Saccharomyces cerevisiae S288C: one gene and its partners. Changing the gene in region 3 together with the main gene of any one other region gives a genetic interaction. Each region holds a gene or a part of one and is shown on either strand. Other genes may lie near its edges. The genes, in order: CLB2, BMH1, CIN8 and PAC1.

Region 1 (4,806 bases), on a different chromosome or scaffold from region 3:
CCTCCATCTACCGTAAGCGCAATGGCAATGTATATAGCGAGAAGAATGACCAACAGAAACAAGAACGAGCTATGGAATGGAACACTACAGCATTACAGTGGTGGTATCGATCCAATACACGATGAAGCGTTTCAGTCTCTCTGCATTGATCTAGTCAAAGACATCGCTAGTTCCAAAACTCATTTAGATTCATTGATTTTGAAGTACAAGAAACCAAGGTATGGCTCTGTTTATTTCCAAACTTTCAAGTGGTGTACATCCGAAATGCATAGCAACTTTCAAAATCTATTTAATCTTAAGTAGATTAGTACTAGTAATGCTCATGAATTCGCATACTCTTTACATTTTCTTTTCTTTTTGCTGAACTAAAAGGAAAAAATTTTTTGCATCTATCTATCTATCTATATATATGTATATATAGTTTATAGTGATATGCGTGTTCACTTCAACATATATAATACCACCAGTATTACTACTATTATCATCATTAATATTAGAATTTTTTTTGTTTTTAAATTTATTCTTTTATTTTTATTATTATTATTATCATTATTACTATTAAAAAATTATTATTATTAATGTTATTCCAATGTTAATTATAATAACTATACTGAAATAATTTTAAAAGAAATGAAAAATGAGAAGAAAGCAGCATTTTTTAAGAGACTAAGGTTATGATATTTCCCATAATATCAACATCCGATACTGATGCTTTTCTTTGTCTACCCTCGCTACATGCATCCGGAAACGGTTGAACTGAAATAGAATAAAACTTATGGTACAAATCTGAAATTAAAATTAAAAAATTAAAATTAATGGTGTGGTGTTATTAGTGAGAATAAAAATGGAGTTTTATTTTGGAAATCTTAGGCTTCGAATGATTTTTTATCGTCAGTTTAAAAATAACAGAATGAAAGGCGCTAAAATTGGGTGTGAAATTTGTAAGAATAAATGGAAATGTGAAAAGAAATGATTAAAAAGCAGCCATACATTTTATATGGACATTTATCGATTATCGTTTTAGATATTTTAAGCATCTGCCCCTCTTCTCATTCATGCAAGGTCATTATATCATAGCCGTTTTTTCTAACCTTTAAAGCCCATTGGACGGAAATTATAGAAGCTTTCATAAATCTTCTAGATTGATATTTTCTATGAAATTCATCATGAACAATTGGACTCACTAGATAATCCATTATCATGTGACACACGGGCGCAAGTTCTTCTTTAGTATACCCGCCGCTATAGTGTATTAGATTTCCATCCCATTTACCTTTACCTAACATTTTTCTCGACATAAACATCGCAGCTGCTGCACACAATGAGGGTAGTATCCCAATAAATCTGAAATCTACCAATGATATCTCTAATAAGAATTTGGCAAGAGTTCGAGACTGTATATCGTAGTCATCTGCTTTCGAAATTCTTCTCAGAAAATTCATCGGATTGGGATAATTTAGGTTAAATTTCAATGTCTTTAAAATGAATTTCTCCCCTTCTTTGATTTCATCTTCCGTACATGCACCGTCTGTCTCTGATGCGAAATGTTTTATACTAGGAGAATAGACCTCTTCATATTTAGAGGCAATGAAAAGGCATGATGTGCCAACCAATTGTAACTTATCCAGTTGAACTAGCTCTTTACCTAAAAACCTGTCCATTATGTTAATGGCAAGATACAAAGTCTCCGGTAATAAGCCGAATTTATTATGGATTTTAACCAACCAATTAACTAGGATATCTCGATTTTGATGAATATTTCTATGCTGATAGAGATCTTCCTTCTTTGGAAGAGTAATGACCTCTAGTTGGTGGAGATATTCGAATATATCATTGACGTACTCGCTGACCATGAATGGATCATTTACATCTTCTGCATCTAGGTCTTCCCATTCATATTCTTCTTTGCCATTTTCATCGCACACTTTAAACTTTTTGGGCAGTTCTTGTTCAACAATTGTAGAAATTGGTCTTTTTTTTCCACTATCAGTTTCACTTTCGGTATTTCTAACTTGAAGTTGACTTCTAGCTGGATGAAGTTTTTCGTTTTCTACCGAGTTATGGACTACCTCAGTGCTTGATCCAACGCCTTTTAGGGGATCATGCTGGATTATCTCCTTCGCTGAGGAGGATTCTTGTAAACTTATATTTGCAGGCAGCTCAGCTCTCCCCTCCTTTATAGAAGTTAGCGCACCAAATTGCTGACTACTTGGGTCTTGGTTTTCTTTATCATCTAAAAGATTGTTTTTGGGGAGTTGGATACCATTTTCTTTCAGGGTTCTTTTCTCCTCTTGTGCGGCTGTTGATCTTGATACGCTTTCTCTAGTAAATTGAGGAATCCGACTTCCCTCCTTCTTTACTGAGTTTAGTGTAGATTTGAAATTTGTTAGGGCTGGATTATTCGCATTACTCTTTTGAAATGTCGTATTTGTTACATTGTTTAAGGCCAACCTTTGTACATTCCTCAAAAACCTTGATGAACTAGTATTCTGTGAGTTTTCTGTGTTTTCTATTGGGTTGGACATCTATAAGATCAATGAAGAGAGAGAGGGGGTAATCAATAAAAGGCTTCTTGGAAGGAAATAGCAAGTTATAAAAAAACTTCTGACAAACGAGCGAATGAAGTTTTTATACAATGATTAAAATTTCTCCAATGTCGTTAAAAGAATCTAAAAGGACAAAAATACAAAAGGAAAACAGATGCTCAATCAAAGAACCGCTTCAACAGATATTCTATGTCAATTTATTGAATAGCTCGCAGTAGGTTTTTATTATACACTGGCTCAATCAAAAAGAAAGAAAAAAAGAAAGAATAAATAACCAGTATCCTTTAGCTATATTTCTTTCGCTTTTCAGAAGTATCAATTCGAGAATACTTTACTTCTTGAGGTATAGGACAAAATTAATACCAGAAAGATTCAATTTTAGTAAATTTTTGGATCTTTTCAAAAGTCTAGCTAAATTGGCAAAAAATTAACCTAAAAAAAATCTATTTTATTATATTTTGATTTTTTTTCCTTTCTAAATTTTTGAGAAAGGATCTATTTCTCTTTTCCCCAAAGAGGTTATATTTTCCATTAAGAGCAAAATTTCTGAAACTCTATGCCCATGCTATGAGATGCTAGCTGTAACGAGTTTGCTATTTCCTCGAGGGACAGGCACCGAAGTTCATCCATATCGCGAACTTCGTTGTTGACCTTTTCCTGATTCGGTCGCTATATTTACAAATCTCCTTTTTTGATTAGTGCCTTGAACTTGCACTTTCCTAAACGGGCTCAATATGTAAACATATTATACAAATAGTTACCCGCATTTGGAATAAAATCTGTCTTTTGGCGGCTATTTCCGCGTGTTTGATTAGAAGGAGTAGTGGTCATTCTAATAATTCCACTGTGCTAATGCACTCGCACTTAATTTTTAAACTTCCGATGCATCAACACTAATGATCATAGCATAAAACGCGTAGAAGGCGATCTTAAGTTTGAGTCCCCCTAAGGCACCTTAGTAGACGGTCAAGAACAGGGTGTGAATATGGGCGATATTCAAGCGAGATTAGGACTTATAAAACAACAACAACAGGGATAACAAAACACTTGACCCCTATTTTTGTAATAAAACCGTTTTCAAGGTAAGGCAGTTAGTAATTTATGTACAACAGAAATTTCTGCCATTTCTTTCACGACAATAACGTAGGATAAGGCCATGAAAAACAAAAATACTAAAGTGCTTATCTAATAAAAGGAAAGGATTAAGCAGTTCCTGCCCATATTTTGGAAAGGCCGTAGCTTAGTTTCCCTGAAATTTACTTCAAGAAAGGTCTGCTTAGCAGTCACATATGTCAATTGTGGGCTGTTTAGTCAAAACCACTTGGAGGTTGATGAATTGATAGTATTTTGGTAAATGAACTAAATATACATTATCAATAAGACGTTGGAGGGGCTTTCTGTATAAATTCACCGAACACTCCCAAATTATGATAAACTTGCTTAAGCATCTTTTCGAAATGCAGTGCATGTGTTAAGTGACAAGCTAAAGGTAAGACATTACGATAATACTCTGTATAGATCGTAGTAACATGAATTATGAAGCATATAAAAATAATATGAAATGTTCATCGAATTTAATAAGTATAAATGCATGAAGATAATAATTCAATAAGATAGATAAACAAAAACGCATGAAGAGAACTTGTAGAACAATAAGCATATATCACCACTCCACTTTTTCTGAAAATTGTGTAGAAATGTAAATTCTGTGATGTTCGTTATGATTCAGTTTCTGTTTCTCAATCTCTATGTCATACTCTTACGCTATATGATAACACACTAGTAGTAGGAAAACTGGTCAAGAGATGATTGTTGTTTCTTTTCCCAACTCATACACCCCAAACAAATGCCTTTATCAAAATCCGATCTCAACACTTATCTTAGTTTACACATTTATCAAATAAGGTTGGCAATGTACCTTTTTCGGAAGGTAAACATCAAATATTTATAGAAATATTTATTAAGGACGCTCTGTTGTATTACGGGCTCGAGTAATACCGGAGTGTCTTGACAATCCTAATATAAACAGTCTTAGGGAAGTAACCAGTTGTTAAAACAGTTTATCAGATTAATTCACGGAATGTTACTTATCTTATATACTATATAAAATATGAATCATACTAAGTGGTGGAAACGCGGAATCTCGGATCTAAACTAATTGTTCAGGCATTTATACTTTTGGGTAGTTCAGCTAGGGAAGGACGGGTTTTGTCTCATGTTGTTCGTTTTGTTATAAGGTTGTTTCATATGTGTTTTATGA
Region 2 (4,476 bases), 510 kb from region 3:
AAACAAAGGGAAAGGAAATAAGGCAAACCACAAAAAGAATAGTGGAAATGGGATAGGAAAAGAGAAAGAGAGGAAAACAAACATTAGAAATAATGTCCGTAACAGCCAACCTATACCAGAGGACAGAAAAAATACCAATAGCCACGTTACAACAAACTCTGGAGGGAAAGGCAAGAACGAATCAGTGGATAAGCACCAATTACCGCAACCAAAAGCTTTGAATGGAAACGGGTCGGGCAGTACTAATACTACTGGTTTGAAAAAAGGGAAAAAAGACCATGCTGGCCAGAAGACTAAGGGCAATGATAAAACGGGTAATAAGAATCCGCGAGAGGCCAAACTAAATTCAGCTGGCAGAAAGAATGCACTTGGCAAAAAATCAAATAACCAGCCAAATAAGGGAACTAGCAGGTGGACAATTGGATCTGATACTGAATCTTCTAGAGAACCTAGTATTAGCCCAAACGAGAACACAACTTCAATTACTAAATCGCGAAACCGCAATAAGAAGGCTAGCAAGCCGACGCTGAATGAAAAATCAAAAACAACAACGATGCCAAAAAAGTTGGAGACAAAAAATCAAGAGAAAAATAATGGAAAAACTAAGGACGGGAAACTTATTTACGAAGAAGGTGAACCACTCACAAGGTATAATACCTTTAAGTCAACCTTATCATACCCCGATTTGAACACATACCTAAATGATTACTCATTTGCCCTTTTTTTGGAACAGAAATTAGAGAACGAATTTGTTCAAAACTTCAACATACTATGGCCTCGCAATGAAAAAGATACAGCTTTTATAATCAACGTTGAGAAGAATAATAATTCAGAACTTGAGAAATTACTACCTGCAAATTTGCTTGCACTCGGTAGACCGGCATTTAATGAAAGGCAACCATTTTTCTTTTGTACTCAGGATGAACAAAAAGTTTGGTATATTTTTATCAAAGAACTTTCTATTCAAAGGGGTAAATACGTGTTGTTAGTGGAGCTTTTTTCGTGGAATAATTTGAGTTTGCCAACGAAAAATGGTTCATCTCAATTTAAGCTATTGCCAACTTCTGCGCAGACAAGTAGAATTCTATTTGCCATGACGCGTATTACAAACCCAAAATTTATTGACCTATTACTAGGCCAAAAGCCTATTAAAGAGATTTATTTTGATAACAGGCTAAAATTTTCCAGTGACAAGTTGAACCGATCTCAGAAGACTGCAGTGGAACATGTTCTAAACAACAGTATCACAATTCTACAAGGCCCACCTGGTACAGGTAAAACATCAACAATAGAGGAGATAATCATCCAAGTAATTGAAAGATTTCACGCATTCCCAATATTGTGTGTTGCCGCGTCAAATATTGCTATTGATAACATTGCCGAGAAGATTATGGAGAATAGACCGCAGATAAAGATCTTAAGAATTTTGTCAAAGAAGAAAGAACAACAGTATAGTGATGACCACCCATTGGGCGAAATTTGTCTCCACAATATTGTATACAAAAATCTTTCCCCAGACATGCAAGTCGTGGCAAACAAAACCCGCAGGGGCGAAATGATCTCCAAATCAGAGGACACGAAGTTTTATAAAGAGAAAAACCGTGTCACCAACAAGGTCGTATCTCAATCGCAAATAATTTTCACGACAAACATTGCTGCAGGTGGTCGTGAATTGAAGGTTATAAAAGAATGTCCCGTGGTAATAATGGATGAGGCTACACAATCATCAGAGGCTTCAACACTAGTCCCACTTTCGTTACCAGGTATAAGAAATTTTGTCTTCGTTGGGGACGAAAAGCAATTGTCAAGTTTCAGCAACATCCCTCAACTGGAAACCTCACTATTCGAAAGAGTCCTATCTAATGGCACGTACAAAAACCCACTAATGCTGGATACGCAGTACAGAATGCACCCAAAAATTAGCGAATTCCCCATTAAGAAAATATACAATGGTGAATTGAAGGACGGTGTCACGGACGAACAAAAGGCATGGCCTGGCGTGCAGCATCCGTTGTTTTTTTATCAGTGCGATTTGGGGCCCGAGAGCAGAGTGAGAAGCACGCAAAGAGACATAGTCGGGTTTACGTACGAAAACAAACACGAATGTGTAGAAATCGTGAAGATTATCCAAATACTAATGTTGGACAAGAAGGTTCCGCTGGAAGAAATTGGTGTCATAACGCCCTATTCTGCACAGCGTGATCTGCTGTCTGACATCTTGACCAAAAACGTAGTTATCAACCCCAAACAGATTTCTATGCAACAAGAATACGATGAAATTGAGCTATTTAACGCGGCTGGTTCTCAAGGAACCGCCGGCAGTCTACAAAACAATGTGATTAACATCATCAACGGCCTACACGTCGCGACCGTAGACTCCTTTCAAGGCCACGAAAAATCTTTCATCATATTTTCATGTGTCAGAAATAACACCGAAAACAAAATCGGCTTTTTACGTGACAAAAGAAGGTTAAACGTGGCATTGACAAGAGCCAAGCACGGACTAATTGTGGTGGGCAACAAGAATGTCTTAAGAAAAGGAGACCCCCTATGGAAAGACTACATTACCTACCTCGAGGAACAAGAGGTCATATTCACTGATCTCACAGCTTACTAGCCGGCTAGGCGGCGGCAAGAAAATCCACTGTTTATGTATTGATTGCGCAATGCAGAGATAGATAGATATAGATAGATAATGGACGTAGTTATAGAACAGAAAATCGGTAGATCGAAAACACAGGGGAAAAAGGGGGGGGGGGGGGGGAGACAGCGCAGCCACGTGACGGGCTTCCTCTTTGGAAAGTGGAGCGAAGTTTTGCGGAAGCTACTTTATTCCGGCCTGGAGTCAAAAGAGGAAGCTCGGTGGCAAATAGCTTCCTCTTTGTGGCCGGGGCGCGGGGGGACGAGGCAAAAAGCAAAGAAAAGCAAAAAAAATAAAAAAAAAAACAAAAAAACAGGGGTATGAGAAAAAGACACGCTTTTCCACGCGCAGCAAAAAGGAAAAAGGAAAAGGAAACTCTTTATTATTGGACCTTAAACCTGAAAACGAGACGAACCGTAACATAAAACCGTGTAGTTTCTGCAAAAATAACTTAGTTTTTCCTACTTTTCAAAATTGAGAGCGCAAGCAAGTGAGAAGAAAAAGCAAGTTAAAGATAAACTAAAGATAAAAATGTCAACCAGTCGTGAAGATTCTGTGTACCTAGCCAAGTTGGCTGAACAGGCCGAACGTTATGAAGAAATGGTCGAAAACATGAAGACTGTTGCCTCCTCTGGCCAAGAGTTGTCGGTCGAAGAGCGTAATTTGTTGTCTGTTGCTTATAAGAACGTTATTGGTGCTCGTCGTGCCTCTTGGAGAATTGTTTCTTCTATTGAGCAAAAGGAGGAGTCCAAGGAGAAGTCCGAACACCAGGTCGAGTTGATTTGTTCGTACCGTTCGAAGATTGAGACCGAACTAACTAAGATCTCCGACGATATTTTGTCCGTGCTAGACTCCCACTTAATTCCATCAGCCACCACTGGCGAGTCCAAGGTTTTCTACTATAAGATGAAGGGTGACTACCACCGTTATTTGGCTGAATTTTCTAGTGGCGATGCTAGAGAAAAGGCCACAAACGCCTCTTTAGAAGCATACAAGACCGCTTCTGAAATTGCCACCACAGAGTTACCCCCAACTCACCCAATCCGTCTAGGTTTGGCTCTTAACTTCTCTGTCTTCTATTATGAAATTCAAAACTCTCCAGACAAAGCCTGCCATTTGGCCAAGCAAGCTTTTGACGACGCTATTGCTGAGTTGGACACTCTGTCTGAAGAATCATACAAAGATAGCACACTTATCATGCAACTGCTAAGGGACAATTTAACCTTATGGACTTCAGACATGTCCGAGTCCGGTCAAGCTGAAGACCAACAACAACAACAACAACATCAGCAACAGCAGCCACCTGCTGCCGCCGAAGGTGAAGCACCAAAGTAAGTATTCTGATAAATCTAAAGAGAAATTACTAAAAAAAAGAAAAAAAAAAGAACGGGGGTGTAATAATTTGTAGTTCATTATTGCAATTATATATCTATATCTATATATGTATATAACATTAACATGTGCATGTACACACGTAATCGCGCGTGTACATGTCTATATGTGTTACTTGAACTATACTGTTTTGACGTGTATGTTTATTTATCTCTCTTCTGATTCCTCCACCCCTTCCTTACTCAACCGGGTAAATGTCGCATCATGACTCCCGACAATAATCCCCTCTGGTATAGCGAGAAGCAACTTTAGCTTCTTAACGGCAAGAACTTTTTTATGTTTGTCGCACCTGTATCTTCACAAAAGTTGGATACAGCAATAAGAAAGGAAACCACATTTGTGCCAATGCTTGCTGCTTCATTCAAACGCCAACCATCACAATTGGTCCGCGGGTTAGGAGCTGTTCTTCGCACTCCCACCAGGATAGGTCATGTTCGTACCAT
Region 3 (6,417 bases):
TTTATAAAGACTGGAGGCAATCACAAACCTCCTGCTCGAGTTCAAATATTCATGTCATCAACAATCGTAACCGATTCCTACCAACAAGATCATGCCTATTTGACCTTTATAGGTCACTTTCACAAGGTCAAACGCTGAAAACATGGTATGAGTCGAAATATATGATTTTAAAAGAAAATAACATTGATATAAGAAGGTTCATAACGTTTGGCCTGGAAAAACGTATCATTTACAGGTGCTACTCTTTTCCTGTAATGATAAATGCAGGTTCACGTGAACCAAAAGAAATGACACCAATAATAACAAAAGATTTAGTGAATAATGATAAGTTACTTGAAAAAAGAAATCACAATCATTTGCTTTCAGCCACAGGGTCTAGAAATACGGCACAATCCGGCAACTTGAAACCAGAAAGACCATCAAAGGTTTCATTTGAAATGCAAAGGGTAAGTTCGTTGGCAACAGGCAAAAGTACTATGCCGAAACTCAGCGACGAAGAAGAAGGTATTCTTGAAGAGTCTATTAGGAATGCCGAAACATTTGATAAAATTTGCGTTTTACTGAGCAAGCCTAAATTAGAAGTCGAAAGCTACCTAAACGAATTAGGAGAATTTAAGGTAATTAATAGCTGAGTTAAAATTAGAGAAATTCATTGTCCATCAAAATGTTTTTTTTTTTTTTTAATATTACAACTTATTTCCGTAAATAAAGATAGTACACACGAATCCAAACGTTTATATAGTTAGCTCTGTGAAAATTTGATTTAGGTTCATCTCTTGGTGTGTTTGGTAGAGGTGGTTTCACACCCTTCTCTTCTGTCTTGCCTTCTAATGAATAACTGAGTATTCTTTACATACTTTGTTTTTATTAACCACTAGTTTGAATATATATTCGACTGAAAGGCAATATCAACTATTCAATCTTTAACATTTTTCTCGAGCCCTCATTGTCCACATTTTCACTGGATTTGTTTTCATCTTCAATTGCATGCTTTTTGGGCGATATTACACTTTGCACTGAATTGCTATTTATGTTTGATAACCTTAACGGCATTTTCTTACTTAGATTTGGTATTTCCTTCAATATGTTCTCGATCATTTCGTCTTTGGTAGCGTTTTCCTTGTTACCATAGTTTTTCATTATGTTTTCAATCGTATTATAGATATCATCCACATTAGTTATATGAGAGTGTGTTGATGTTATCGAATTTTTAATGTTATCTTTCAACATGTTATGCTTGTTAATAAGCTGCTCAAATTGATCATTAAATTTGGTATTGTTCTTCAAAAGGGATATAGCGTTCTCCGATTCTTCCACTTGTCCTTTCATGACTGAAATAGACTCATTCATCGAATTTGATGATGTATCAACAGTACTCTTGATTTGCGATAGCGTCGCTGCCATGCTATTATAGAATTCGTTATTCATGGAGTCACAATCATTTATCAGATCAAATGAATTTTCCCATTTAACGCGCTTGGGTTCAAACAGATCCATTTCTTGATCAATAACCGCGCTGGTTGCAGTTGTCAGATTCTGCATTATTAGTTTTTTATTTTCGTCAAGGTGGTCATTTAGGACCTTTTTAAAGTTCTCAACAAACTCGTTTGTTCTCTTCTCAATATTTTCATAAGTAGAATCCACATGACGATTCAGTAATTCTTGATGGTTATTCTTGAAAAAATGGTTTTTTAAGTACTGTTTCATGTTGTTATTTTCTTCGCTAATATCAGAAAGATTCTCGGCTATATTTTTATAAAATTTTTGGAAATCTACTCTTATTATGTCGATTTTCTCAATAACAACATTGAAGAATTTAGGAGATTCGTTTAAAATTTTCTTCACACAGTCTTTGTACATTAGTTCAGCTTTTTCTTGCATGGTTCTCATAAGAGTCAGTACTTCATTTTTGATCATATCAAGATTTGGTTGGATATTAGTCTCTTGAAGAATACTTTCCTGTTGCATAGTGTTTAATTGTAAAAACAGTGTAGATTTCAATTTTTTAATTTCTTTAGTAATATGCATTTCAAACTTTTGATTAAGGTCAAGTTCTCTTTTTTTGTAATCATGTAGGGCCATTTGCATTACCTCAGTCAACTTCTGTAGTTTGTTATTAAAATCGGATATTTCAATTTCAGTTTTATGCTGTTTATCTAGTTGTGCCCTTAAATGATCTATGGTAGTTTTCAATGATTCTATTTGGCAATTTTGAGATTGAATAGTTTCTTTTGACTTCAATTTATCTTTTACTAGCAATGCATTTTTCGATGTCAAACTTTCAATTTCTCTTTTACATTCTTGAACTTCATTTTTATAACTTTCTAAATCACTGTTCAAATTTTTGTAGTGATCTTGGCTCATATATATTCCTTCTTTGGACTTTGTAGAGAGTAAATCGGATTTAATCTTTGCTAATTCCATAGTTATATTTTTAACCAAAATATCCTTCATTATAAATGAACCCAGTTGCGGCTTGTTCTTAATGTTTTTAGCCTTCGAAGCATACTCTAATGTACTGCAGGTTTCTTCAGAAGTTACCTTTGCAGGCGATATAGTAGCAATTAGTGCGGTTTTCGTATTACCACCCAGGGAATCTTGAAGCAGGCGGGTCAATTTCGATTCACGGAAAGGTATATGGCCGCTTTTATCTACGAGTGCGTTTATGACCCTGCCCAGCGTCAATAGACTTTGGTTGATTGAACCAGCTTCTTTGGCACGTTGATTTAATGCTCCGGATCTGTTGATGTTTTCTGAACCAGCTAAATCCACAAGATTCATTTTGGAAATTCTAAATAGTTCATCCTGATGCTTCTTATACAAAGTGATTGTAAAAATGGTATGAGATCTACTGGAAAAATCGTTCATTTTAGTGGACGCTACTTGCCTATGCTTTAAGCCTTTTTGTAATAGGTTTAGCCCCTCCATAGCATTTGTTATGTGAAATTCTTGCAAATTCTGGATGTATATACCATTAGTTTGGTCATTTGGAGCCATCGAACTTCTTTGACCGTTATTTGTGTTGGTGTTACTAGAAGCATTATTAGTGGTAGAGCCAGAGTTAGAGGAAGAGTTGTTCCTGGAATTCACTGCCTGTTGTTGTTGATACTGTTGCTTGATGGTATTCGGCAGTGATTTTGTCCTTAACCTTTTTCTTAATAGAGCAGCTTTAGGTGTTAGATCATTTAATGACCTCGGAGAACTGTTCCTAGAATTACTCCTGGAACTACTAGCACTGTTGCTAGTGGTATTATTTGCTGTGCTTGAATCAAAAATCCTCAATTTTTTCATAAATTGGCCGTCAAAGCCAGTATTACTAGAGCCGTTGCTATTGCTGTCCAAGAGGTCCTTCAATTCTTCGTTGTAGAGTTCAATGAACGAACATTTTACTACGTAATCGTTCTGTTGTAGTTCCAATGTGTCAAACAACTTCAAAAGAACCCTCGGTATAATTCCTGCTGCATCGCTCAATTCACCATTATATAACTTTTCGTCGCCCGTCATTGTATATGTTTTACCTGTTGACGTCATACCATATACCAGTACGGTGCAATTGTAACCTTTAATGAAATCCTGGAATAATGGGCCCGCCACTTCATCAAAAATTAGATCCTGGGAAGCGCCGGGACCGAAGACTTTGTCCACTGTGTATCTCTTGGCATTCATTTGAGCAGTTATACCGGTATCTCCCGTCGTGTTAATGGAAATTTCTTTAGAACCTGTAATATCTGGAACATTTACCACAACGGAGCTTTTCATACTAATTTCCCTTTCATTCCTTCCTCTGCATCGCACAGCTACAGTGATGTTCAGTTCCTCATTAGGAACAGTGTGACATCCAACCTGAGAGTTGCCATTTTTACTGATGCTGTTGGAGCTTCTATCTTGACCCGTATTTTGGTTTTCCGCTGGCATCAAACAAATTCTTTCTTGTTGTATTTTTTGCGCTTTTATATACTTTTTATTACTTTTTCCTTTGAATTGCTTGCTTCTGTATCTATACTCAACGTTACTTTCTGGCCATACCATAAGTTCTACACCCGCTGTTGAGAAGCGGGTCACAAAGGAAGTCTTTAGATGATGTTATTGTTGCGGCCTTGTTTGTTTGTTTTGTTTATTTCGCGTACCTAATACATCGTCACCACACACGAAAACGAAAACATTTGATCAGATAAGTGATCTGCAAATAAGATATAATAAAAGTAACAGTTATTTATTTAATTAAAAACGCAAATATGTAGTAATACGTGGGACATATAAATTTCATGAATTAAAAAAAAAAAATGAAATTCAGATTGAAAATAATGGGGATATAAAAAAAGTGGACAAACGATAGTGAAGAGGGACTCCGACTTGTAACCTCGAGACGCCTAAGGAAAGAAAAAGAAAAAAAAAAGCAGCTGAAATTTTTCTAAATGAAGAATTAAATAATATTCAATTTATCAAGAATATCTCTCACTTGATCAAAGATTAAATCGGTCTTTGATCCAATGAATTCATCCATGTTCAATTCTTGCTTGAAACCAGATGAATGGGACTTTTTGGTATCATTCCAGAAAGCGGACAAATCTTGACCACCACCGTTGTAGATTAAAACATTTGGAGTGTCTTCAGGGATATCGAACAAAATGTCCTTTGTACTGTAATGAATTAGCTTCTTTTTCAATTGCTGAGGAGTCAAAGAATCCTGGCCCAATTCGAAAAATTCACTATCAGAACCTGGTTGCAAAGACAAAAAGTAGGTCAACAAACCAGCAACGTGAGGGGAAGCCATTGAGGTACCCGATAAAGTGGCGGTGGCGTCATCACTTCCAATGTAGGTGGACAAAATGTTTAAACCTGGGGCGAAAACGTCGACACACTTACCCCAGTTGGAAAAGTAGGCTCTGTCATCGCTCAACGTGGAAGCTCCGACGGTGATGGCCTTGTCAGCAGAAGCTGGGGAGGTATTACAAGCGTCTTGGTTTTCGTTACCAGCAGCCACGGCAAAGTGAATACCGACTTCAACGGCTGCATTAACAGCCAAGTCCAAAGCTGGGGACTTGCCACCACCAAGCGACATATTGGCTGTGGAACCTTTGAACCCCTTTTTCTTTTCTTGGGCTTCTTTTTGGTGCGCCTTTGCGGCATATTCGACACCTTTGACGACATCAGACATGGTACCAGACCCGTTTGATCTCAAGACTTTCACCGCAACAACGTTGGCATTTTTAGCGACACCGTAGTGTTTGGAAGCGATAGTACCGGCACAGTGGGTACCGTGGCCGTTACCGTCGAGATCTTCGTCGTTAAGTGGGATGGTTTTCCCCCAAATGGCTCTCTTTTCGAAGTCCTTGTGGTTGATGTTGACACCCGTGTCAATAACATAGGACGTGACACCGCGACCGGCATCATCATCGTAGAGATACTTGTTGAAGGACCCCAGGTTGAGGCGCTCTCTGTGGGAAATACGGGCCAACCCCCATGGGGCGCTATTTTGAGTGTCAAATTCTGTAGCCTCGACAATAGAGTCTCTCTCAACAAAGTCTACTAATGGGTTTTGACGTATCAAGTCGACAATCTCTTGGGTGAAGTAACCGATGTAACCGGAGAAAAGATTATCGATGTTGAATGAGTCCTGGATACCGCCAGCCTCAGAGGTGGACAAGGAGGTGTCTTTAGTAGAAATGAAGAAAGCGTCTTCGGCAGATAAGTTCTCTACGGATTGAAGTTGTGCCTGCTGGACGTTTTCCTTGTGGAAATCGATCTCTTCTTGAGGGGCACCTCTCTTGAAGACTATAATGTAGCGGTTGGGGATGATCTTGGAGATCGCGTCTGGGTTGAATTGTGCAGTGGACACGAGAGGAGCCAGCCTGTTGTGGTGCCTCCCTTTCTCCAACGTCTTTTCGTGGTGCTTCTTGCCCTTGACTTTCTTACCTTTCATCTTCTTCTCCTCCACCTTATTTTCGTGGCAGCCACCCTTATGGTGAGGCTTCTTCTTCTTATCATCATTATCATCATCATTGGAACTTTCATGCTTAGGCTTCATGCCCTTTCCTCCCTCGTGGGCGCTCCCATGAGAGCCACTTGCACGTTTACCGTTGAATTCCGGAGACTCCTTGTCTTGGCCCTTGCGGCCCTTCTTATGGAACTTTCCATGTTCTTTATCTTCAGAGTCAGATGGCTCCTCATCATCGTCCTTAGTGAATTCCACTTTTCTGGGTCTCTCGTGGTGATCTTCCTTGTTAATCAGTTCGTGGTGGTCGGCGGCATTTTCAAGATTTGGGATGACCAAAGCAGCAGAGATGCTCCCTAGGGCACCGAGTGTAAATAGAGTATTTTCTAACTTCATCTTTGCTTGTTAGAATTAGGTTTAGTTTGTTTTTTTATTGGCGATGAAGCTAATTGGACTCTTAAGTTTGTATGGGAAGAACTCCA
Region 4 (5,162 bases), on a different chromosome or scaffold from region 3:
TTATGGGCCTTATCATTGGCACATGCTCAATTGTCTAGTGTTTTATGGACAATGACAATTCAAATTGCCTTTGGATTTAGAGGATTTGTGGGTGTGTTTATGACGGTTGCACTTTTTGCCATGTGGTTCGCACTAACATGTGCAGTTCTTGTTTTGATGGAAGGTACATCTGCCATGCTTCATTCCTTACGTTTGCACTGGGTTGAATCTATGTCCAAGTTTTTCGTGGGTGAAGGTTTACCATACGAACCATTCGCATTTGAGTATAAAGACATGGAAGTCGCTGTTGCTAGTGCAAGCTCTTCCGCTTCAAGCTAAATTTTGAGGACTTTTAAAAAAAGCGAAACATTTAAGTACTTCATTAAATAATAAATGATGCTACTATATAGTGAGTAAACCTTATTATATACTATCAATGCTAATTCAATAAAGTATTTAAAGTATCAACCAATGCTTAAAAAGAGTCAAAAAAAAGGGAAAAAGAAATAGGAAAGCCAAACTTATCTCATGAAAACGTTAGACTTGCAATCCAATCCACCAGTGACCATCATTTGCCTTGGGGTAACGTTAGAATCGAAATCCACATCCAGGTCTAAACAGTTGACAAATCCTGTATGCAACTTTTCCCAAACGTGTAAGCACTGCCCCGTGTTCAGATCCCAACATCTGACAGATTTATCATCAGCACAAGAAAACAAGTATTGGCCTCGAATACTAATATCTCTAACCCACGAAAGATGCCCCTTCAACGTAAGAACACATCTGAAATTTGAATCTGTAGGATTCGGTATGGGTGCTCTATGGGCCATTAACGTAGGTAGAGGTATCTCCCAGATTTTTATCGTTCTATCTCTTGACGCTGAGACACAATATTGCATCCCCCAATTCTTATATCGATCCGTTGATGGTGTTCTAAACCTTATCTCCGGAGAGTCTTCGATGAAATGAATAAATTTAACTTTCTCTATGGGAAATTCATGACCCGTGCCAACACTAAGACCATTACCTGATGGCCAATGTGTTAACCTTAATGTAGTGTCATGTGAACCAGAGATGATGTAATCGCCTAGAACGTCTATGGAACGAACCCATTGGGAATGAGGCTGAAATGTTTTCAACGACCAACCATTGTGGAAGTCCCAAATTTTAACAGTTTGATCTCTGGAACAGGACGCTATATGGACATCATTATTTTTCTGCCAGATTTTTACCGCAGAGACAATATGCTCATGGCCCAATAAAGACCTAATTTGTTGGAACTTGCATTCCTCGGAGACCCACTTGAAAACATGAATCTGCAAATCTTTAGACGCGGTAACGATCACCAAATAGTTCTTCTTGCTGGAGTTCGTATAATTGGTAAATAAAACATCCATGGAGGTAATTGCCTTGGTATGACTTTGCAAGGATGCCAGAGGGATGGTGTAGTTAAATAAATCAAATGCGTATAATTTGCCATGATCTGTGGCCACAAACACTATAGGCAAATTGGGATGTAGTTTGACGGAAGTGACAGATGATTCAACATTAATTAAACAGCTTGGTAGATTTCTCGGTATCCATTTCAAAACATTATGTGCGCTGGTGCCGTTACTGGTGGTAGGTTTGAATTGTGCTAGTTCTGACACTTGAGTGTTCAAATCTTTAATCTGAGATACAAGGGTCTCTGTATTCTGCTCCAATTCAATGATTTTTTTTTGTAGTCTAACAATTGAGTTCCACTTCTTCGGTAGCAGTAATTCATCAATGTCTACCATACTTTCGTTACTGGTGTCATTGTTACTGATGAATTCTTGCCGGTCCACTGATTCTTGCAACAGAAAACCTGATAGAGTTACAATTGCATGTCGAACACTTTCGTAATCTTGAGCATGCTCATGTCGTACAGTTTGTTTGTAATTCCAATTCAAATATCGGAGGACACTTTTATCGAGTTCATTTTTCTGTGTATCTGTTAAAGGAAGCTGTTGCTGCCAGTTAGTCATTTCTATTTTTTTCTACACTTACGCACGCACAGGTGTATACCAACAACCGGACGACGAACCTAGCTGCTTTATCAATGGCTATCTGGGCGACGATGGCCCAATACTAAGATTACCTATTACGTTTACACTCGCCAAAAATAAGAAACAAGTGCAATATGCACGACTTGCAAGCTGAAAATATTTCAAAACACCCACATCCCACAGCACAAAACCAGTGCAAATTCCATAAAGGGAAGTGAATTAAATTCAATGGTAGATGAAAGCACTTTTTCAGGAACCGTTTTAAGATCTAATTGTAGTTTACCAAGATATACTAAAACGTCGTTACTCGTTTTATTTACCTACCATTAGCTAACCGTTGCCATGGCTACCGTCCGGGTCGCCAGCGGCTGCTACTGCAAAAGTTGACAACGAAAAAGAGAAAAAAAAAATTCTCGGCACGCAAGACCTGAATGGTTTTTGTTTTCCCCTTCCCATTTTTTTCTTATGGTTTTTCCAGTTTTCTAGAAGCCGGAAAAAAGGCAAGCTACAAAATGTACTACGCGGAGCCAGAATTAAAAACCACGCGGACGGGACGGGCCGTGGCTTGTGACGCCGGATCCCCGCGTATAATCCGTGTCACGCTAAAGGACAAAATCGGTTTATCCGAGCGGTTTACGGGAAGGGTCTTTTGCTATCTCGCAGTAGCGTGTGCCTGGTTATCCCAATACTACCACCACACCTGTGCTTTTTTTATCTTGTACGTGCATGTATGCGTATGTTTTCTTTTTTTCCGTTGGTGCTTATTCGCTACCGTCTCGTTGATCCATGAATCACAAACACAAGCCGGTTCTGCTTACTATACAAAATAGTCTTGTGTCTTGATTCATATATCCGTCAATAACGTAGCCTTTCTTTATTTTCCTTTCGCTCACCATACTCTTGCATTAGTGTATTTTGTCTTTTATATCGCCAATAAGTGCCCAACTCTTCTACCTGACCCCTACGTCGTCGCCGCCCCTTTTCTTTTTCTTCGCCTAGTTCTATTTGGCTATATATTTCAGAGTGACAAATCTTTAAGAGAGACAAACTGAGAATTAGCATATAGAATCATTCATACAACTGTTTACAAACAAGTAAGCCCAAGACAGTTCCCAACCGCTTAAAGAAGTTTTTCCTAGAGGGAGCAAAGTTCGTTTACATTTCACACACACAGTTTTTTTTCACTTTTTTGGGCCTCTTCCTTTTCCCGTTTTTTTCAAAAAGCTTAGAAATCTTCTTCACCTCCTATTTTTCTAGAATCGTGAAGAATTTCCAGATTTAACAGTTTTCCACTTTTTCAATAAGGAAATAGTAGGAATAATAAAAAAAGGATAGTAGTAACGATATACGTCGACTTTCCAGACTGGTCTCGAGCCGGAATTAAATACAATAGCAGCGTTTGACTACCACATTGTAGCTCCGCTAGAATTGATCGAAAACAAAAATAATAACACTAATAATTATAATAATACGGTAGAACTATTTCTCGTATAAAGATGCCTAATCTATTGTCGAGAAACCCATTCCATGGTCATCATAATGACCATCATCATGACCGTGAAAATTCGTCTAATAACCCGCCACAGTTGATCAGAAGTTCTAAATCTTTCTTAAACTTCATTGGTAGAAAACAAAGTAATGACTCACTAAGAAGCGAGAAATCTACAGATTCCATGAAATCTACCACAACCACTACAAATTATACTACAACAAACCTTAATAACAACACCCATAGCCATTCTAATGCAACCAGTATCTCAACAAACAACTACAATAATAACTATGAAACAAACCACCACCATAATATTTCTCATGGGCTCCATGACTATACTTCTCCCGCCTCTCCAAAACAAACCCACTCCATGGCAGAATTGAAAAGGTTTTTCAGACCTTCTGTAAATAAAAAACTATCTATGTCTCAACTTCGTTCCAAGAAACATAGCACCCATTCCCCCCCACCTTCAAAATCAACTTCTACAGTTAATTTAAATAATCACTATCGTGCCCAGCATCCTCATGGCTTTACAGACCACTATGCTCATACCCAGTCTGCTATACCGCCAAGTACCGATTCTATCCTATCTTTGTCCAATAATATTAATATATATCACGATGATTGTATTCTGGCTCAAAAATACGGGAAATTGGGTAAGTTATTGGGTTCCGGTGCCGGTGGGTCCGTTAAAGTTCTTGTGAGACCAACTGATGGTGCTACTTTTGCCGTCAAAGAATTCAGACCAAGGAAACCGAATGAGAGTGTGAAAGAATATGCCAAGAAGTGCACCGCAGAATTTTGTATTGGTTCGACTTTACATCACCCAAATGTTATCGAAACTGTTGACGTTTTCTCTGATTCTAAACAAAATAAATACTATGAAGTTATGGAGTACTGTCCGATTGATTTTTTTGCTGTTGTTATGACAGGCAAGATGTCTCGTGGCGAGATCAACTGTTGCTTGAAGCAATTGACTGAAGGTGTTAAATATTTACATTCTATGGGATTGGCACATAGAGATTTGAAATTGGATAATTGTGTCATGACTTCCCAGGGTATTTTGAAATTAATTGATTTTGGTAGTGCTGTTGTGTTCAGATATCCTTTTGAAGATGGCGTAACGATGGCTCATGGAATCGTGGGTAGTGACCCTTACTTAGCGCCGGAAGTGATTACCTCCACCAAATCTTATGATCCTCAGTGCGTCGATATATGGTCTATTGGGATCATATATTGTTGTATGGTGCTTAAAAGGTTTCCATGGAAAGCCCCTAGAGATTCTGACGATAATTTTAGATTATATTGTATGCCGGATGATATAGAACACGACTATGTTGAATCTGCCAGGCATCACGAAGAGTTACTGAAGGAAAGAAAAGAAAAGCGTCAAAGGTTTTTGAATCACAGTGACTGTTCCGCCATCAATCAGCAACAACCAGCTCATGAATCAAACTTGAAAACAGTTCAAAATCAAGTTCCAAATACTCCAGCATCTATACAGGGTAAAAGCGATAACAAACCAGACATTGTGGAAGAAGAAACCGAAGAAAATAAAGAAGATGATAGCAATAATGATAAAGAAAGCACGCCAGATAATGACAAGGAAAGTACCATCGATATTAAAATAAGCAAAAATGAGAATAAAAGCACGGTAGTTTCAG

The links.
Region 1: mutations in CIN8 (region 3) and CLB2 are lethal when combined (synthetic lethality), as found in Saccharomyces cerevisiae (6 studies listed by BioGRID, with this or other methods).
Region 2: mutations in CIN8 (region 3) and BMH1 together harm fitness more than expected from each alone (negative genetic interaction), as found in Saccharomyces cerevisiae (5 studies listed by BioGRID, with this or other methods).
Region 4: mutations in CIN8 (region 3) and PAC1 together harm fitness more than expected from each alone (negative genetic interaction), as found in Saccharomyces cerevisiae (6 studies listed by BioGRID, with this or other methods).

Annotation. Positions count from the first base shown.
Region 1 is NC_001148.4:769,372-774,177, reverse strand, and holds CLB2 (B-type cyclin CLB2), read right to left. Parts: upstream 2,526-4,806; coding exon 1,050-2,525; downstream 1-1,049. Other genes in the region: B-type cyclin CLB5, read left to right, coding at 1-303. UniProt on the Saccharomyces cerevisiae protein: Essential for the control of the cell cycle at the G2/M (mitosis) transition. Interacts with the CDC2 protein kinase to form MPF. G2/M cyclins accumulate steadily during G2 and are abruptly destroyed at mitosis.
Region 2 is NC_001137.3:542,439-546,914, forward strand, and holds BMH1 (14-3-3 family protein BMH1), read left to right. Parts: upstream 1-3,172; coding exon 3,173-3,976; downstream 3,977-4,476. Other genes in the region: ECM32 (RNA helicase), read left to right, coding at 1-2,617; PDA1 (pyruvate dehydrogenase (acetyl-transferring) subunit E1 alpha), read left to right, coding at 4,379-4,476. UniProt on the Saccharomyces cerevisiae protein: Involved in growth regulation.
Region 3 is NC_001137.3:35,623-42,039, forward strand, and holds CIN8 (kinesin motor protein CIN8), read right to left. Parts: upstream 3,916-6,417; coding exon 913-3,915; downstream 1-912. Other genes in the region: nitrogen permease regulating protein NPR2, read left to right, coding at 1-632; PRB1 (proteinase B), read right to left, coding at 4,424-6,331. UniProt on the Saccharomyces cerevisiae protein: Elongates the mitotic spindle by interacting with spindle microtubules to generate an outward force pushing spindle poles apart.
Region 4 is NC_001147.6:823,208-828,369, reverse strand, and holds PAC1 (Pac1p), read right to left. Parts: upstream 1,986-5,162; coding exon 501-1,985; downstream 1-500. Other genes in the region: VPH1 (H(+)-transporting V0 sector ATPase subunit a), read left to right, coding at 1-318; YOR268C (uncharacterized protein), read left to right, coding at 2,438-2,836; putative serine/threonine protein kinase HRK1, read left to right, coding at 3,503-5,162.